Drosophila melanogaster: one gene and its partner. The protein of the gene in region 2 purifies or fractionates together with the protein of the main gene of each other region. This does not show direct contact. Each region holds a gene or a part of one and is shown on either strand. Other genes may lie near its edges.

What was found. The genes of interacting proteins can lie anywhere in the genome.
Region 1: the proteins of boca (region 2) and Fim purify together in Drosophila melanogaster (affinity purification with mass spectrometry, with the first as the bait; one large-scale study listed by BioGRID). This does not show direct contact.

The regions. Positions count from the first base shown.
Region 1 is NC_004354.4:17,285,615-17,293,576, reverse strand, and holds Fim (fimbrin), read left to right. Parts: upstream 1-1,907; 5' UTR 1,908-2,248; coding exon 2,249-2,326; intron 2,327-4,539; coding exon 4,540-5,650; intron 5,651-6,042; coding exon 6,043-6,321; intron 6,322-6,386; coding exon 6,387-6,640; intron 6,641-6,700; coding exon 6,701-6,904; 3' UTR 6,905-7,873; downstream 7,874-7,962.
Region 2 is NT_033778.4:7,565,326-7,568,575, forward strand, and holds boca (boca), read right to left. Parts: upstream 1,414-3,250; 5' UTR 1,338-1,413; coding exon 1,188-1,337; intron 1,026-1,187; coding exon 633-1,025; 3' UTR 548-632; downstream 1-547. Other genes in the region: Rpe (Ribulose-5-phosphate-3-epimerase), read right to left, coding at 1-159; Vps13 (vacuolar protein sorting 13), read left to right, coding at 1,940-2,039. UniProt on the Drosophila melanogaster protein: Chaperone specifically assisting the folding of beta-propeller/EGF modules within the family of low-density lipoprotein receptors (LDLRs). Acts as a modulator of the Wg pathway, since some LDLRs are coreceptors for the canonical Wnt pathway.

The DNA.
Region 1 (7,962 bases), on a different chromosome or scaffold from region 2:
AAAATAATATAATCTTTATAGGAAAACTACATATAAGTATATAAAATAAAAACAAATTGCTGTTTAATGCCCTTTTTTTCGAGTGTACATAGGTGAAGGGTTGGCAAACATCGGTGACACCAAAAGTGAACCCGTAGAAAGTTGCTTGGGGTCAGGCGTGTGCGGTTCTGGTGTTTGATTTCTTACTGCCAGTAAATAAGATACTTGAAAGTGGCTTTTAACAAATTTAAATGTGTAAATGAACGCGTTCCAATCAATGAAATGGTAGGCGTACTACAGGTGCTAATTAAGTGCAATATATTTTGTGAATTGAAGTACAATAAACTCATCTTATGAGGTAAATATTTGTTAAATTATTGCAATTTGGAGTAATTATCGAGGGGAAACAGTAAACTGTTTAGAAAGGTTAACGACCGATAGATTTACATACATATATCAGATATATTGTAATATAAATATGTATATATGTACTTAGCACAACATTTTCGATTGCAACCAATCTGATAGCATTACCTATAGGACTAAGCCCAGCTGCTCTTGCTCAAACTTGTGGATAGTATTATGTAACAACAACTGTTTTATAACAAAAGATGCGTTTGCTCAGCTGGGCTTATTCTCTTTAATTCGAAATATCGGTCGATCGAGGAGCGGCGACACTTACAAGCAAACAACAAAAGCCTTTGTATGTCCAGCGATTAGTCATCGCGAGTAACTGATCGATAACACTACTGGCCACTGTGCATAACTACACTGGGGAAAGTGTGCTCTTAAACTATTCGATTTTTATTATCTGCAAAGCTTATTTTTTTTAAGATATTTTGGCAGTCTTGAGGACTTTTTCTGAACACAAGATCCTTTAAAGTTTTACGTTAACCCCCTGGTTTTTATGTTCGAAGGAAGTTCTAAACGTTTATTGTCGCATTTCCTTGTCTTATCGCGCTTCGAACTTTTATTATCTTGGCTGGAATTAGATTTATGTTGTACAAGTTATAACCTAACCGAAATGACAATTGCCACATAATTCCCTCGCTGATATAATGGCTATTAAAAAACCAATTACGTTTAAATACCGTGTCCCTCTCTCAGGTACTTTTTACACTCATTTTCCCATTATCTCTCTATAAGTTCACCCGCCAAGTAGTATTGCATTTAAACGAAAACTTTTCGATGCGTAAGCAATTTGTTGAAAGCGATTTCGGACTTTTGAGAGTGTTGCGAATAGGGCTGCCACGTCACGCTAGAGACCGAAAATTGACAAGTGAATCAACTGAAATATGAACTAAAACTAAATTTAACTATCCAGGCAACGATTCATACAGCTTGCATAATTTCTTATAAGCTGAATCACTTGATCTACGTCACGTTTGTACATTCATGGTGTACAGTTTAACGATTTATTCACATGTAAAAAATGATAAACAAATAAGAGATTACGAAATAAATATTTTAAATTATGCTGCGATATGTTGCTGTTTGTATGTTATAATCACCCCGCATTTTATGGCGACTTGGCAACCCTGCTGTATTGTTGCACCTGGGAGAGAGCAAAAGAGAATGGCTAATATCATTGAAAGAAATAAAGTAAGGAGGGAACTGGATCTTGTCCCTTCCAGGAGAAAATTAAAATATATACCTAACAATGTTTCTTTATAGATGATTTCTGCACATTTACTGAACCTTTTACTTTGCCGTTTTTGAAACTAAGTAACTTTTTATCATAGTTTTTTTTTAGCGATACAGGATGACGCGTTTTCTAAAGGTGTTCGTCTGCCTCTCTTTGCACGGCTTCTCCCCTCTTTTACTCTCTCATTTACTGATAAGGCTCCGTTCGATTGGAGTGCTGTTTTTTGCCTCTGTTTTTTTGTGATAAAAGAAAAGGCATAAATAGTCCGTTCCACTGAACCACTCAATTAGTACTCAACAATAGCCCGTGGAAAGCGAATCAGCCAAAAAAGAAAGAAGAACGAAGAACGAGGAAGAAAGCAAGGAGTAGTTACAAGAAATATTTAATTAAAGCTCGCATCCTTGGCTCTCTCGCGCCGACTTTCTTTCGCTCTCTCCCGATCAATTGGAGATCTCTTCCGCTCGCGCACCACCCACTCTCTTTCTGACGCGTTTGTGCGTGTGTTGTGTACTTACTGTGTGCAAATCAATTAATTTTTTGTTGTTTGTTTGTTTTCGCAACGAAAACCAGAAGGAATATCGTAAATAATAAAATTAATTCCGCGTGCAAACATACATTGGAATAATGGCCGATATTCTCAACGTGGAGCAGCACCAAACGGTTCAGGAGTTCAAGCAGAATCTCGAGGAGCTCATTCCCAACGTAGGTGGCGCCACGGTCTCGACTACAGTGGATAACCGCTAAAGCAAACAACTATACCATACAAAAATATGCAATTAGGAACGCATATAAGGAAGATATCGCATTAAAGCATCTTTGAAAAATTGAATACGGATGTTAATTTTTAAATTCCTCACATACTTAAAAAAAACTTCGTTTTTAAATTGAGAGTCTTGAGTTGAACAGCCTTTAAAACGCTAATTTTGAATTTTTTATGACCCACAATTCACGTAATCACTCCCTCTCGATTTTGGTGTGTCTGTGTTTTTTTTTCGCCCTCTTTATTTTTCTGCCCTATCAACTTTTCTCGGAGCACTTTATAGCTTTTTAATCGATAACACCGACAGGTGCCACGCATACCAATACCCAATGCCAATAAGAGGGGCCTTTACAGTGAACACCTCCGATAAAGTGCACGCGCTTCAAACTGACCCACTACAGACCTCCCCCCGAAATTATGGCGAAAATCAGAATCACTTCCGTTCGATGTCAGTCAAATGTTGGCCAAAAGAATATCCCAGCTATCAGTCCGCTTGATAGTCTCTCTTTTGGCCAAGGACAACACCCTCGTTGGCTTAACGGTTTTCCCCCCGCGAAAACCCGTGAACCACCTATCATATCATTACCATACACGTAATCGTGTGCTGCTTTCGATTTTTTATGTTCATTTTTTGGCGCACAGAAATTTATCTTATCGACAAACAGCAAAAGCGGAGCAATCAACGCACCACTACTAAACCGAGTTACCAACCAGTGAGCCATAAATTCCACAGTCCAGTATATCAGCCGATCCAACTGCCCCTTTTCCCCTCAGATTTGTCCTATTTCGCACACCGAATATGGCGAAAATGTCGAACGTTTTATTATACCGTCCGGCTGAATACTTGGGTTTTCACCAATTTCGATATTTCGAATTGGGGGGTACCCATGGAAATCGCAACAATTTGGAGCAAAACTAACTAACTTCAAGCTTATTAAACTGTGGCATAGTTGAGGACTAAGCTACAATATGATTTTATGTGGAATATTAAACATATCAGCTGGGAATATTTTCAAAACATATTCCAAAATTATTATATTTTATTAAGAAAAAGTACTTATAATACATTATTACACGTTAAAATGTTATGTTTCCAAATAATTTAACCTTAATATTATTGAGTTAGGTTAGTTCTCAGTAAGTTTAAAAAGATAGTATACACTGCAACATAGATCAGCCACCGTTTTCAATGCTATTATAGTTTTAAACAAACGGGTTCGCATTTGTTAATTTAATTTTTCATTTTGTAACAACTTAAACCATAAACATAAATATTTCCCTTCGATGCCAACAATAAAAGCTTATCTAATCTAAATTATTTCAAGCATTTTGACCAAAAATCGCGTTTAAACCATTAAATATGACTAATAAATCTAAGTAAAGTGGTGAAACCCATATAATAATATATCGAATTGACTGGACTGTTTAATTATATAGCTCTTATATGTAAATCTGTTAAAGGAATCCCAGCTAGATTAAAATTAGTATTTAAAGTGGCCACCTCTTAGTCATTAAACTTTGCAAGAAATAATCAAGTCGGGTCCGAATCTCAAGTGTTTACAAACTGATTCATTCGTTCAGGCTTTCACTTCTTTAGTTCTTTTTTTTTTTTTTTTTTGTATATTTTCTCTTATTTTCTGTGGCGCCCACTCACGCTTTTGAACTGTATAAATTGAAGCGAACAATTTTCGATAATCAGCGATATGTCAGTCAGGTGGGAGATAAGACCCCTCGAACTGAAAACTGAAAAATGGAAATTAAATTCGATAAGGCTGGCACACAGACAATATAGCGATAAGGTTGCGGGAGATGGAATATAGCATTTTGCATTCCGAATTCCGCAGATAAAACAGGCACTGGAATGCGGCTGTGTGTTTGGCTTTCGGATTTGATTGATGACTCACAGATCGATCGTGGCAATAGGCGGCGGACAACTTACTCATGACCGGGGATTACTCATGGATCTTTCCTGTATTCAATTTGTATTGGTGTGCCCCTTAAGTCATTTTGAGTTCCGAGAAGGCCAGAAATTAAGTTTATGCCTCAGGAAAGGTCAATAATGTTTATGCCAATGTTAATGAAAACTGTCTAGATCTAATAGTTTTTGCAAATTGTTTTAAACCAATACTAATTAAAATCCCTCTCCTTCTTGTAGTTGGATGCCAACAAAGATGGCTTCATCGATCTGCACGAGCTAAAGGATGCCCTCAACCAGGTGGGCTTCAAGCTGGCCGGCTACCAGGTGCGCGAAATGATTGACGAGTACAAGGGCAAACAGCTGACTGCCTTCCAGGGCAAATTGAATCTGGAGGAGTTCGAGGCACTGTGCCTGGACCTGAAGAGCAAGGATGTGGCCAGCACATTCAAGACGGTCGTCTCCAAGAAGGAGAACTTGGAGACCCTGGGCGGCATGTCGAGCATTTCGTCGGAGGGCACCACCCATTCGGTGCGCCTCGAGGAGCAGCTGGCCTTCTCCGACTGGATTAACTCGAATCTGGGCCACGACAAGGATCTGCAACATCTGCTGCCCATCGATAGCGAGGGCAAGCGCTTGTATCTGAGCATCAAGGATGGTATTCTGCTGTGCAAAATTATCAACCACTCCTGCCCGGACACAATCGATGAGCGTGCGATCAACAAGAAGAACCTCACCGTCTACCGGGAGTTTGAGAACTTGACCCTGGCCTTGGTTTCCTCCCAGGCGATTGGATGCAACATCGTAAACATCGATGCCCACGATCTGGCCAAGGGCAAGCCACATCTGGTGCTGGGTCTTCTCTGGCAGATCATCCGCATCGGTCTGTTTAGCCACATCACCCTGGACAGCTGTCCGGGATTGGCTGGCCTACTCTTCGACAACGAACGTCTCGAGGATCTGATGAAGATGTCGCCGGAGGCCATCCTTTTGCGTTGGGTCAACCATCATTTGGAGCGAGCCGGCATCTCGAGGCGGTGCACCAACTTCCAGTCGGACATCGTCGATTCTGAGATCTATTCGCATTTGCTGAAGCAAATTGCCGGCAATGATGCTGATGTCAATCTGGATGCCCTGCGGGAATCCGATCTGCAGTCGCGCGCGGAGATCATGTTGCAGCAGGCCGCCAAGCTCAACTGCCGCAGCTTCCTCACGCCACAGGATGTCGTCAACGGAGTCTACAAACTCAATCTAGCCTTCGTGGCTAATCTGTTCAACAACCATCCAGGATTGGACAAGCCCGAGCAGATCGAGGGACTCGAGTCCATTGAGGAGACGCGCGAAGAGAAGAGTAAGTACTTAATATTTAGCCATACGTAAGATCGGTACAAAATACCGTTTTTATTTAATTGAAAATTAAACACAAGAAATCAAAGTTGATCAGGAAAAATCCAGGGTTTCTTATAAAAAAAATGTAGATATCAACTGCCACTTATATAGCATAATTAAAGCAATTATAAATATATATGTTTATCAATCGGCTTTGCACAAGAAGTGCAAGCCATAAAAACCGGGAATTTTTAGCTCGCAAGACCATTTATCACAAGAAGAATATAAGAATATAATACAATAATATATGTGTACTTATAAGAATACGATTACTTAGAATTATAATACTCAGGTGTTATATACATATTTGGAAAATATTTAACTTACACCAATCATTTCTATTTTTCTATCTAGCCTACCGCAATTGGATGAACTCAATGGGCGTGGCACCGCACGTGAACTGGCTTTACTCCGATTTGGCCGATGGTCTGGTCATTTTCCAGCTGTTCGACGTCATCAAGCCGGGTATTGTCAACTGGAGCCGTGTGCACAAGCGTTTCAGCCCGCTGCGCAAGTTCATGGAAAAGCTGGAGAACTGCAACTATGCGGTGGATCTGGGCAAGCAGCTCAAATTCTCGCTGGTCGGAATCGCAGGCCAGGATCTAAACGATGGCAATGCCACGCTGACGTTGGGTAAGCATTGCTATTCTAATTGTATTTTTGGATGTTACCAATTCTGAACTATCTTATGGTTACAGCTCTCATCTGGCAGCTTATGCGTGCCTACACCCTGTCCATTCTGTCCCGCTTGGCCAACACTGGCAACCCCATTATCGAGAAGGAGATCGTCCAGTGGGTGAATAACCGACTGTCGGAGGCAGGCAAACAGTCGCAGCTGCGTAACTTCAACGATCCGGCCATCGCCGATGGCAAGATCGTGATCGATCTGATCGATGCCATCAAGGAGGGCAGCATTAACTACGAGTTGGTGCGCACTAGCGGAACACAGGAGGTGAGTCCTGACTATGTCATGATATGTGGCAGACTAAACTAGCGCTTATTGATTCCGCAGGATAACCTGGCCAATGCCAAGTATGCCATCTCCATGGCCCGCAAGATCGGCGCCCGTGTCTACGCCCTGCCCGAGGACATCACCGAGGTGAAGCCGAAAATGGTGATGACCGTTTTCGCCTGCATGATGGCCCTCGACTACGTGCCCAACATGGACAGTGTGGACCAGAACAACCACAACAGCTCCGCCAACAACAGCAATTAGGCGCCATAGCCACAACTCATTTATACATAAACAAAAGGATGGGATTTTGAAAGGGAAGAACAGAGTGGGAACTACGTAAATTTGTCGTATTCGCTAATTACTAATAACTCTATTCGATTGCGTTCCTTCCTGCGCTACCAATACATTTTTGTGTTTTTTTTTTATTTCAATTACTTTTTGTAATTTTTTTATTATATATTTATATATTATATAATTGAGTATGAGTTTCCCCCTATTGTAATTAAGCAAACAGATTTTAGAGTGTCGCACATCTGTTTTCGAGCCCGGCGGGGTGTTTCTTAATTAGTTTTGTTTAACAATTGATTAATTATACAACTGTAACCTTATTTTATAAATAAAGGTTTAGCTTGTTCCGCTTAAAATCCTTAAAAGAAAAGAATGGTGAAACAAAAGAAAGAAAAAAAAAGCGACTTGTGCAGGATTAAGAAAGAATTATAATATTAACATTGCGACGAAAACAATTAACTCTGTAATATATATACATATATATTTATATACGATTACGATATGCGTCTATATACATAACATATAAATTTACATAAATCGATATATTTTTCCATAAACGCGTTGCCTAAAGAAAGATAACGAACGAAGATCAGGAATGGGGAATATTCAGAAACAAAAGAAGTCGAGAAAAACAGAGAAACTAATTTTATATTTACTATAAATTTTTTTGCGAGTAATTGTAAGACGCCTTTGTTTATGTGTTTTTTTTTCAACGTGCGTGTTTGTTCAATTTCTTTTTACATATTTGTATAATTTTGCGTTTAAGTGCGTTAGAGCGAGGTGGCAATAGGTATCGCCAACACGGCGTAGAAAGAGAGGGCAACAAACATTTTTAGTGCAATGAGGCGACATACAAATCCAAGAGAAAAAACGAATTAAGAAGAAGATGAAGTAATATTATATGCAGAATAAAAGTAAAACAATAAAGAAAATAAAAATACCAATATAAAAGCCGTTTCACTTAATAAGTCATAATTCTGTGAAGTTATCAACATAAAGTCTTGGGAGATATTTTCATGGCGCTGCACATT
Region 2 (3,250 bases):
CATGGGGTGACCAAAGGTGAGATTCGGCACAAAAGTGCCGTCCATCACGTCCAGATGCAGGTAGTCCGCTCCATTGTCCAGTAGTTTCTGTGACTCCGCCGCTAGGTTGGAGAGATCCGCATTGAGAATGCTGGGACCGATCTTGGCTTGGACGGGCATCTTCTTGGTGGAACAGCTACTCAACAGGCGGAGCAAGTAGAGCACGTCGCGGTTCGCGGGTGGCGTCTTGTTGACTTAAGGTCACACAGAGGGGAGCTGGAGCTCGAAACATTTGAAAGGCGATACGATAACTTTGCCGATGGCACCGTGAGTTGTGTAGTTGGTCAGCGATTAATTTAGAGTTTTGCTTAAATTTTTCATTTATTTTGTTTTTGATTTGACACATACGCAGTGTATATAAACAATCTAATAGAGATACAAATATTATATTCAAAATATGTTTATTGAAATATTCATATTTTTATCCATATTTATTCCATCCCGCAAACGGAGCCGTTTCCCTGTGAATGGCCAAGCAAAATACATATGTAGCTTCTTTAATAAGTTTGTTTAATAAATTTGTTTTATTTTAATTGAACTTTGATCTTAAATAGTGAGAATGTTTTGATGTGCTGGTATGCCGTGGAACCGGCCTACAGTTCGTCCTTTTTCGCATTGACACCTGGGTACTCCTTGTTCTCGATGGTTACGCCCTTGCAGCGTTCCTGCTCGATGAGGAAGTCCTTGGCGTCCCAGGCTTGTGTGCCGTCCTTGAAGAGGAAGATGGCGCGGTTATCGTCAACCATGTAGCGCTCCGCCTGGATGTGGTTGTTCCAGAGGCTTGTCTGCCAGAGCTTGGTGATGGTGTCGCTCTCCTCCCGGGTTGGATTACCGGTCACCGAAACGAAGGTCATCAGCGTGCGCCCCTTTTTGGACACCTTGAGCAGGTCCTCGGGGCTCTTGCTGTCCAGATTGCTCAGGTCCAGCTTGGGCTGGGGGCGCAGGTGCTCGGGCAGCTCATCATCCTCGAGGGGCTCTTCATCTTCCTAAGAGAAGATTAAAAGAAGGGGTATCAGTTATCCGTCTCTACAAATGATGAATCCTTAGATAGGTGGGAATCTAAAGGGTTGGCATTACTCCCTTGCTAGGTGCGAATCTGGAGAGTTGGGTCCGATGTGTCGCTTTCCAATCGCAGTGTTGTTACCTACCTCCCATTGATCTAGCAGACGCTCGAGGTCCGCCTCGCTGTAGTCGCGTATATCCTTTTTGGCCCACGCCGGTTTCTCCTCCTCCTTGAACTTCTTGGCCAGGACGAGCGGGGTCAGAGCTAGCAGCAGCAAAACAAGACGTGTTTGCATGGTGTTTTATAAATATTTTTCCTATAGCTCAGCAATTCGCACGGTCAAACACGTCACCTAACAGTTTGCCATTCGCCCGGGAACGCGACCGAACAGCTGATTGAGCGTCCCCAGGTGGAGAACGCAAACGGAAAACACAACAGCTGTTAGTTTCGGGCGAGCATTTAAAGAACGCGCATCGCACGGAGTTACTACTTTTTTGTCGCGTGGAAATGCCGCTGGTAATTGGGTGCAGTAAATAGAGATAAGAACGGGCGTTGCACACGTGCTCTGGAGTGGAGTAGTGAGTTAATCGCACCAGCCCTACTCCAGCTGACCCTGGACAATCGTTTGGCTTGTTAGTTTATTTTGGAACAATGGGCCTGGCGGATTGTGCCAAAATATTTGAAATGCGTTCAACGATGACATCATCGACATTGTGTTTTAATCCGTCTCTCCGTTCCATCTGTTTGGTTTCTGTGTTTACATATGCATGTATTTTAGATCAACTATAGACCGCACAGCGAACGCCAGATTGTTTGAAGCACTCACCACGACCACATCAATTGGAATAACAACCACAAACTTGGAGGAAAATCAATAGGAGCATCTGCTAGGACACAATGGTCTTCGAGGCGGTGGTGGCCGATGTGCTGAACAAGGTGCTCGGCGACTACATCGAGAACTTGGACCGGAACCAGCTGAAGATTGGCATTTGGGGAGGTGAGTTCCAGTTCCCCGGAGAGGATGACACCATTCTGCTCCACCCTCACGCAAAAACATCGCCTTACTGCGGTACCCATTGTTTATTGGTCTATTTGCACGCAAGTGCCCAGAAAAAACAATGATGGCGGTGACCTTATCCTTGGCAAAATACTATTAATGACCTAATTTCGTCGCTTCTAAGTGAGCCGTATTCGCAAGTTCATGCGAACCCAATGAATTCTTCTGAGAAAGAGAAAAGACGGAGGAGCATTCAGACTTCGAGGGGTGGGACAACTGTTGCATCTTGCTGTGCGATAGAGCAATTCTTGTGGTTTCTCTTGGCTCTCCATGAGCTCATTTAGTCTCTGCCTTTATATCTTTTATTTACAAATCTACTTGTATAGGGTTTCTGTGTGAAACATAAACAATTCTTCGGTCTTTTATCTGAATGTACTCACTTCACTTCATGTTAAGTGGGTTGTAAATTCCACTTCACGAAGACAAGTTTGCGACAAACCCAGTAAACGGGTTTGTTCAAAGAGTGACGTTCGGCGACAAGCCTGTTTTAATTCGGCTGATCTTGAACTTGGTGACATAATGCCTTGCGTTCATAAATTCATGTTAATTAGCATTTTGTTTTAAACTTATATAAGAGTATTTCATTCAAATATGCTTGAAGTAAGAAAGACCGGGCTTATGCTTCGTTAGAAATGAATGAATATATGCTATAAAATGATATTTTCTCTACAATACCTAAATATTTTGAATAAAACTGATTAGCTTAACTAATCAAAAATGACCTAGTTAAGTCAATGGAATATGTGTGTATATATTGCTTCTATGCAGGGTATATTATTTATATTATATTATTTGCCCAATGATTCATATTTGTTTTCATTTTGCAATTTACAAGTCAAGCGTGTTATATGTACATATATTGTAAAATGCAATCAGGTGAATAACTCTTCTTGTTTATTGAAGCAATCTAATTTAATCAGTTGTTACAACACTGTTATCAGAGTAACTTATAATTAATACTCTTGTATTTAATGTCGATAATTGAACACCACTTGCAGAATTATGATTATTGGCCAGATATGAAGTTTGTAAAGTAAGGCCAAACATGTTCCTATCAGTGCGATTCGACTGGCCTCAAATGTTGGATAACTTTAATGGGGTCGCTTGGTCGTTAAACTATTGACACACAAGCGTAATTCAATGTATAGTAT